Linked DNA regions of Elephas maximus indicus. The protein of the gene in region 2 interacts with the protein of the main gene of each other region in a pairwise test. Links are inferred from orthologs where the notes say so. Each region holds a gene or a part of one and is shown on either strand. Other genes may lie near its edges.

Region 1 (3,916 bases), about 26 Mb from region 2:
GAACTGAGAAAACATTTGTTATAAGGTAGGGTTAGGTAACATGTCTTGGTTTCTAAGCCTGGGTTAATATTTATGACATAGGTGAAGTGTCTTTATCAATACTTCCTGATTCTCTTCTATATACCAAATAATATGTAGAATGATAGGCAATGCTAAGGGTGTAAAAGTTGTGAAACATGTGGCCTTTTTTGTAAAACCTCTTACAATCCACTTCGTCTTAAGTTGGGCTCCCGAGAAGCAGAGGCTAAGACAGGAATTCTTGTGCAAGTGACTTATTAAGGGAGAGCTCTCACTATGTCGCCTTTAACCTGCTACATTTGTCATTGTTATTATCCAATTCATTGTGATAAAAAACCAAAAATACAAAAACCGTTGCCTTTGAGTTGATTCCAGCTCATAGTGACCCTATAGGACAGGGTAGAGCTACCCCATAGGGTTTCCAAGGAGCCCTTGGGGGGTTCAAACTGCCAACCTTTTAGTTAGCAGCCATAGCTCTTAACCACTACACCACTAGTGTTACAGAAAATTTCCAGGTATTGTTTGTAGAAACACTTCTAAGCAATACATTAGTTTATTTCCTATTATCAAAGTTCTTTACTATATTTCTATTCTCGTTTCACATTTCAATCCATTATTTGTAATGAACTTATAATGATACTTTTTATATGGTTCCCTGTTAATACCAGGTTAAATACTTTAGGGATTTAGGGGATTAATAGGCAGTCCTCAAAATGACCTCAAAATAATTGAACTGGCATAAATTATATGATGGAGGGCTTTGGGGTTAGAGATGAAGGTTAGAGACCCAAATTTTTACACTGTGCTGAAGACCAGGCCAAAGAGGAATTTTGGGTATTTAAGATTGTGTACTGACTAAACTGACCCCTCCCCACAAACCTACTGGCAGGTGTTCAGGATCAAATGCTTGGTTTAATCATATTATTAAAGATTAAAAAGACACTTTAAATTCCCCAGGCTAGTGTGCAGTGCTAGGATTGTTCAGAGAGCGTTCATGAGAAATCGATTATATCATAGGAATTTAAAAACAGAGAAACAGTTTACTTAGTAAGTCAAGAGATAAGGGAAGGGTTGGCTGATATTGACTCAAAGTAAGCCCAGCAATTCAGAAATATGCGTTAACATTCCACCTTTTTAGCAGGTGAAAGATGCCAGTGATCAATATCGAGGACCTGACGGAAAAGGACAAATTGCAGATGGAAGTTGATCAGCTCAAGAAAGAAGTAACACTGGAAAGAATGCTGGTAAGGTGCTGATATCTTTTGAATTTTATTTTAAATTAGAGAGACTGTGGGAGTCCCAGGTTAGATAACAGTAAATTGAGAGGTTCAACGTAGGGAAAATAAATTGTTCAGGCAAAAGTTCATTTGGATTAAGAAAATTAAGAATCAGAATGATCTCAATTTAGACTCTAAATCAAGTGGTCAGCAAACCATTACCCTCAGGCCAAATCCAGCTCTTAGCTTGTGTTTGCTTGACTACTTAGTTAAGTAAGAATGGTTTTACATTTTTAAAGATGTGCTAAAAAATGGAATAAACAAAAGACTATGAGGCAAAGACCATATTTTAGCTAAGCAATAAAATAAAGCAAAGCATTTAGGCATTCTGTTTTTACTTTTCTATATTTATCAGCTTCTCTTTATTTAATGCAATACTTTGATAATGTTCAAATACTTTTACCTATGCCCTCATCCTCCCCAGCATTGTCATGGCCAGTAATGAATGAGTACATCCTATTCTTCCTTTGAACATAAACAGCACTCCCTGGTTCCTCCTAAAAACATCTGACGACCTTGGAAACGGTTACCAACAGTTCTCTGCTGTTTAGAGGGAGCAGAGACTGCAAAGAAATGAAAATTTCCACCAGACAAATAGTGACTGGAGCTTGGAAAATGTAGATAAGTGCTTTGGGTCTCTTCATTTTAAGAAAGTGGAAAAAGGTTCCTCGGTAAGTGATAAAGTCATGTTTCATAACTTTAAAAAATAGCCTCACTTTATCAGGTCAAAATGAAAAAAGGAGTTCGTGTTATCTCTAGACTTTGTTCAAAACTCTTACTCCCAATCATAATTGGGATTTCTGGCTTTCTTTAAGTTTATAATTGTCTCAAACTTCCCTTCTATCCTTTCTATTTAGACTGAGGCAAAAACATGTTTTGCTGTAAAGATAAAAAATAAATCTGTAAACAGCACAAGAGCCGAGAACACGCATACACCAAAAAAAGTTAAAGTCCTCATCAGATGAAAAAAAAAGCCTTTTAGAGTAAAAACGACAAACAAAATCCGCTGCCTGTTCACTCGATTAGCAACCCTATAGGACAAAGCAGAACTGCCCCATAGAGTTTCCAAGGAGCGCCTGGTGGATTTTAACTTCCAGCCTTTTGGTTAGCAGACATAGCTCTTATCTGCTGTGCCACCAGGGTTTCCTTTTAAAGAAGAGTTGTTTTTATCTTCTTTTCTTGAAACATTGAGAAGTTGTTTTATTATTTATACACTCAGGATTGTTGTTTTTCAGGCAGTTTGGTTGTTGTCTTGTTTATTTTAACTTGCGGTAAGTCTACCTCGGAATTTTTCTTTTGGGCAAACATCACATCACCATCTGTCAGGCTGTTGGGTTCCTTTTCTCCATTACTCAGCTGCTACCTGGCTTTTGGAAATCCAACTAATTTTAATATTGGACTACAAAAGCTATAATTAAGGAAACTGAGTTACGTAATCAATGTATATTGAGCTCTGACTAAAGGCTCAAAGTGAGATAAATGTAAGAGGGCCCCAAAGCTACAGGTAAGAAATGTTACAGTTCATTCCAAAGTCAAATAGACATTGTCCGATACTCAACTACATGTCTTAGGAGTCTAAGGAGAGTACCACTGCTCCCAACTATAACATGAGAATGTGAATAATGATTGACTCTGGGGAAGAAAAAGGCAGACAATCCAAATGGCTTTATGCCAACATTGAATGGAAGCAGAGTGACAGGGTGGAAGCACACAGCTCATCCCAGGGTGTTCTCCAGTGTGTGACTGCCAGCAAGTGACCTCACATTTCAGTGGGATAGCAATTTAGCCTCTGTTTCTGGCATATAGGTAAGGCCAAAACAGCCAGCATCTGGAACAGTTTGGGAGGAAAGGAGTGAATCTAAAGTACTGCACATCTCAAAGTGTGGATAAACCTGAAAGTTTCATAATAAGAAGGATCCACATGACCAATGTTTCCTTGGCCTACAAAAAAAAAAACAACACACAAACCTATTGCCCTTGCGTCAATTCCAACTCATAGCAACCCTAAAGGACAGAGTAGAACTGTCCCCAAGGCTGTAAATCTTTACGGAAACAGACTACCACATCTTTCTCTGGTGGTGCGGTTTATGGGTTCAACCACCAACCTTTGGGTTAGCAGCCCAGTACTTTAACCACCAGGTCTCCTTGATGAGTGAAGAGAAGCTCATAAACAAATTAAAAAGCTCGGTTCAGATATTTATTTATTAAGAACCACCTACATGCAGGCTCTGATCCAGAGGCCAGGGATAAATCAGCCAAAGGCCCCCGATTCCTTAGAGCTGAACTTGTAACATTAGCTCATTGTCATGGTCAATCATTTTACAGGAATTTAAAATAAAATTGCATATGCACACTTTTTAGAATCCAGGAGTGGTAATAAGCCTGAAGAAAAGCTTGCACATATAATCTAGAAAAAGAAAATGGATTTCAGAAGATATTTGCTGGAGCTGACCCTTTGAGAAATTATGTAAATTCTCTCATGCTCAGTTTCGTCATCTATAAAATTAGTCTAGTAATAATGTATTTGAAAATGTGAGTTTTAGAGAGAAGATATATAATACATGCACGATAAAAACATTTACCTACTAGTGCTACCTTTGTATTCCCCATGCATGTAGTAG
Region 2 (3,916 bases):
ACCTGAGATCCAATCAATTCAGGGACCTTCCTGGGGAGGGATGGAGCCTCAGGAAGTGGGCAACACAGTGGTCTTGGCGAAGGTGCTGCACCTGCCTGCCCACTGCCCAGGGGCTCATTCTAGCAGAGATCTTGGAGAATTCCAAGGATTTATATAAAAAAGGCTCCCTAGTCTCCTCTGCCACCGGATATTAAACACACGGATTGACATTTTAATTAGGAATAGAGGAAAACCTCTTAAAAAGACAGTTCTCAAGAAATTAAAAAGGTATGATTTTACAGGGAAAGACACTGGACTTGATAACCTAAGCAGCTTCCTAACTCTCTTATACGTATACATATGTACGTACATGCTTTTAATATAATTATTACCATCTAAAATTTATCATACTTTGCGAGCTCTGAAAAGAATTTCCATAAAGTCATAGAATGATAAATAGGTTATTAAGGGGGATTTCAAATTACAACTTTACGTTTTAAGAACCAGCTGCTATGGAGTTGATTCTGACTCACGGCAACCCCATCAATTAGCAAGCTTTCCGCTGGTTGCTACAAGTCAGTGTCAATATGGAGAAGTTCTGATCCAGGCAGAGGCCTTTATCTTTTATGTCAGATACTCCAAATTCTCTCTTGCTCAAATAATTTTGTTGAAACAAACTGGAATTTAAAGTTAAGTTTTTTCTATCAGTTATTCAATTCAATCTGATAGCCATTTAAGCACTGGTTCTGAATTCATAATATCCTCACAGTTGGTGAGGCTATGGGGAAGAGGGCACTCTTGTACACTACTGGTGGGAATGTATACTGATACCTCTTAAGAGGAAAATCTAGCATCTATCAAAATTTTAAATGTGCATCACCTCTGACTCGGCAATTCCTCCTCAAGAAACACACACTCACTAGGCAAGGATATGTATAGAGCTGTTCACTGCAACGTCTTTGAAAAATCAAAGTCAACCTATATGATTGTTAATAGAGGAATGGTTAAAGTAGGGCACATTCGTATCATGGAATACAATGGGTGCAGTCCTTAAAAAGAATGTAACAGCAATGGTATTAATATGAAAGAGCGTTTATGATAGATTATTGAGAAAAAGGGGAAGGTTGGAGATCCTTAAACTTACAGAGGATGATCCCTTTTTATTAAAAAAAAAAAAAAATCAAACCAGACAAATGCATGTCATAGAGAAGTATGTCAGAAAGGATACACATCAAACCTTTAACACTTGTTATTTGGGGAGTGGGACTATGTGGTGGAGAAACTTTGAGTTTTTACTTTACATACCTCTGAAAGGTTTGAAATGTTTATAATGAAAACTTTTATACTTTTAAAATAATCAATGCTTTAAAAAATGTTCTACAATGTTTCTGAAAGGCATATCCAATTTTCTTTTTTATGAGTAAATCTGTGAGATAAATTCATCAGACTTTATTTCTAGATCTTAAACTACTAGCCCGCCAGAACTTCCAGAATCTTGAAAATCTTAATAGTTCATTTTGTTACTATGGGATAACAAATACATGGCTAACAGAAATGGGTACCAAAGAACTCAATAATTGTCTAGGATATGGATATAATTCAATATTTAACTCAGGTGTCTTATCGAAGATTTACATCTTTGATGGAGTTATTGAAAAAAAATTATTTCAGAGCTAAAGAGTCCCACTGATGGGAAGAGGGGAGAAATTGCACTTAATTCTCTGTGGTGCGGGAAATAAAATTTAAGGCTAATTGTCAGTGTAACCAGAAAGCAAAAACGAAGAGACGAACAAAGAAACCTCAACAGGAACTGAAAACCAGATTTAAGCCCCCAACTTTGTCCATCAGAAAAAGACAACTTGTGCTAAATGACACATATACTAATGGCAAAAACGGAGGGGGGCGGCGACAGACTACAGGTAAAAAGACAATCCAAGTGCAGGTTTCAAAGTTTGGTGTTGGATCTCCACAGTGACAAATGGCTCAGAGTATAATGTGAATATCAGATACAGAAAAGTACCTGTGATGATTTTCATAACCCTTTTCAAATTTTCTCTGAAGCCAAGAGCACAAATTACCACTTCCTTTCCTCCTCCTCTAAGGATCTAGCCTGGGAAGATGTCCCAGGCTCCACAGTCAATTCTGGAAAACAGTCAATGGGCGGAGGAGAGAGCCTGAGACACACACTTTCCCTTCTGAGGCCGCTATAGCCAGCAGCGGGACAAAACTGCAGAGCGGCGAGCAGAGCCACCAGTCGGCTACTGGAAACCCACCCAAACTCAAATCAAACACACCTCCCAAGGCCAAACCAAGGCGAAGGCGGGATACTGGCAAGGAAAAAAAGGAAAAGGAGCTGCTAATCTCAGGGCTATAATCACACACACGTGAGCCTGACCTGACCACAACCATTCAAGAGACAACGCAAAGCGGGGAGCTCCGAACAGGAAGACTGAAGTCCGGAAAACTTCCCTGGCTGTGCAGAAGGCCAACCCATCCCCTTTCCTCCGTCCCCCCGCCGCCCCAGCACTGCCACTCTCGCCGGGCCCCCTAGCGCCCAGGTGGCCTCGGAGCCGGTGGGCCCCGGGGTCGGACCAGCGAACGGCTGCACTCCCGGTTAGGGGGAAAGGAATAAAAACCAGTCACACCCCAGGGGCACCAAACTCACCCTGAAAACCAACATCCTCGACTCCGCTGTGGCTGCCATTGCCGCCCTCCTCCCCTCCGGCAGCAGCCCCCTGGGTCTCGGGAGCAGCCATTACCCAGCCGAGAAGAAACGGGAGGCCTACGGCCCGGGGAGGGGCATGCGGGGACCAATGGAAACGCAGCCGAAGGCGAACTCGCCATTAACGCAGCCTTACCTCCGCGCCCAAGCGGCGCCGTCACGCTCTGAGCCAATAGGACGCGGCGAGAGGAACCTAATTCCCGCCCCTAGCTACCCAAGCCACGCCCCTTTCCGGGATGGAGCCCGAGGACTACAATTCCCAGCGTGCCTCGGGGCGCGAGGATGGGCGGGCTGGACAAGGCGCTGGCGGGCGGGGTGAGCCCGAGAGTGCCCCGGCGTGTTCCCTTAGTTCAGTGAATCAGAACAATGACTGCGCCGCCGGGTTCTGGAGAACGCGTCCGACGACTGTGAGCAGCCGCTGCCGGGAGCGCGGCGGGCGGCGCAGACTCAGCGGCGCGGTGTCAACGCCTGGCTCGGGAGCCTCCAGCGCAGACCCTGCCCAGCGCCCGCCACCCGCGCGGAGCCGACGGGCTCTAGCGCTGCAGCCGCTACCCGGGTGCGGTGCATTGTTGTGAGCAGGAGACGGGGCGAGGGGAGTACAAAGCCTGAAGACCCCGGAGCCCCTTTAGCCATGTGGATACCTACGGAGCACGAGAAATACGGCGTGGGTGAGTCTCCGCGGGGCCAACTTTTATCCCTCTCTGGCTCAAGCGGGTGCGCATTTCGCGTCCTTGTCCCCGCGCCGCTCTTGCGCCGCGCGGCTGGAAATGCTTAGTCTTGGCATCGCGCAGCAGGTCCAGGGTTTGTCGAGCCAGCCCCGGGCAGGGGTGCCTCGTCCGGCCGTCCGTCCGCCCGTCCGCCCGGCGAGCTCCGCACCTCTCCCGGAGCGCCGGGACGGCTGGGAGCGCGCGGCCACCCGCCGGCTCCCGGCTCTGTCTGCGGAGTTTGGAGTGGCGGCGGGGCGTGTGCGTGTCAAGTTGGAAGGAGGGCGAACGGCACTCCTCTCCTTCTTCCCCAAAGCGGCGGGGAGACGGCAGTGGGCTGCAGAGATTTCCCAGGGTGGGGAGGGAGACGACAATAACCGGGCGGAGAGAACAACCCCAAATAGAAGGGAGGCGCACAACCGTCCCTCAGGCTCGCGTCAACATTCCCAGATTGCCGAATGTGGCACAGTCCTCAAAGAGCTGCTGACAGACCGAACCCGGTCCGAGCCTC

What was found.
Region 1: the proteins of ZNF277 (region 2) and GNGT1 interact in a two-hybrid assay, tested with the Homo sapiens proteins (3 studies listed by BioGRID and IntAct). The two-hybrid records come from large-scale screens. The link is inferred for Elephas maximus indicus from reciprocal best matches to the Homo sapiens genes ZNF277 and GNGT1.

What each region holds. Positions count from the first base shown.
Region 1 is NC_064826.1:63,850,245-63,854,160, forward strand, and holds the start of GNGT1 (guanine nucleotide-binding protein G(T) subunit gamma-T1), read left to right. Parts: upstream 1-989; 5' UTR 990-1,065; intron 1,066-1,156; 5' UTR 1,157-1,166; coding exon 1,167-1,262; intron 1,263-3,916. UniProt on the Homo sapiens protein: Guanine nucleotide-binding proteins (G proteins) are involved as a modulator or transducer in various transmembrane signaling systems.
Region 2 is NC_064826.1:37,506,674-37,510,589, forward strand, and holds the start of ZNF277 (zinc finger protein 277), read right to left. Parts: upstream 2,782-3,916; 5' UTR 2,736-2,781; coding exon 2,645-2,735; intron 1-2,644. Other genes in the region: DOCK4 (dedicator of cytokinesis protein 4), read left to right, coding at 3,333-3,369. UniProt on the Homo sapiens protein: Probable transcription factor. Involved in modulation of cellular senescence; represses transcription of the tumor suppressor gene INK4A/ARF, perhaps acting via the Polycomb group (PcG) complex PRC1.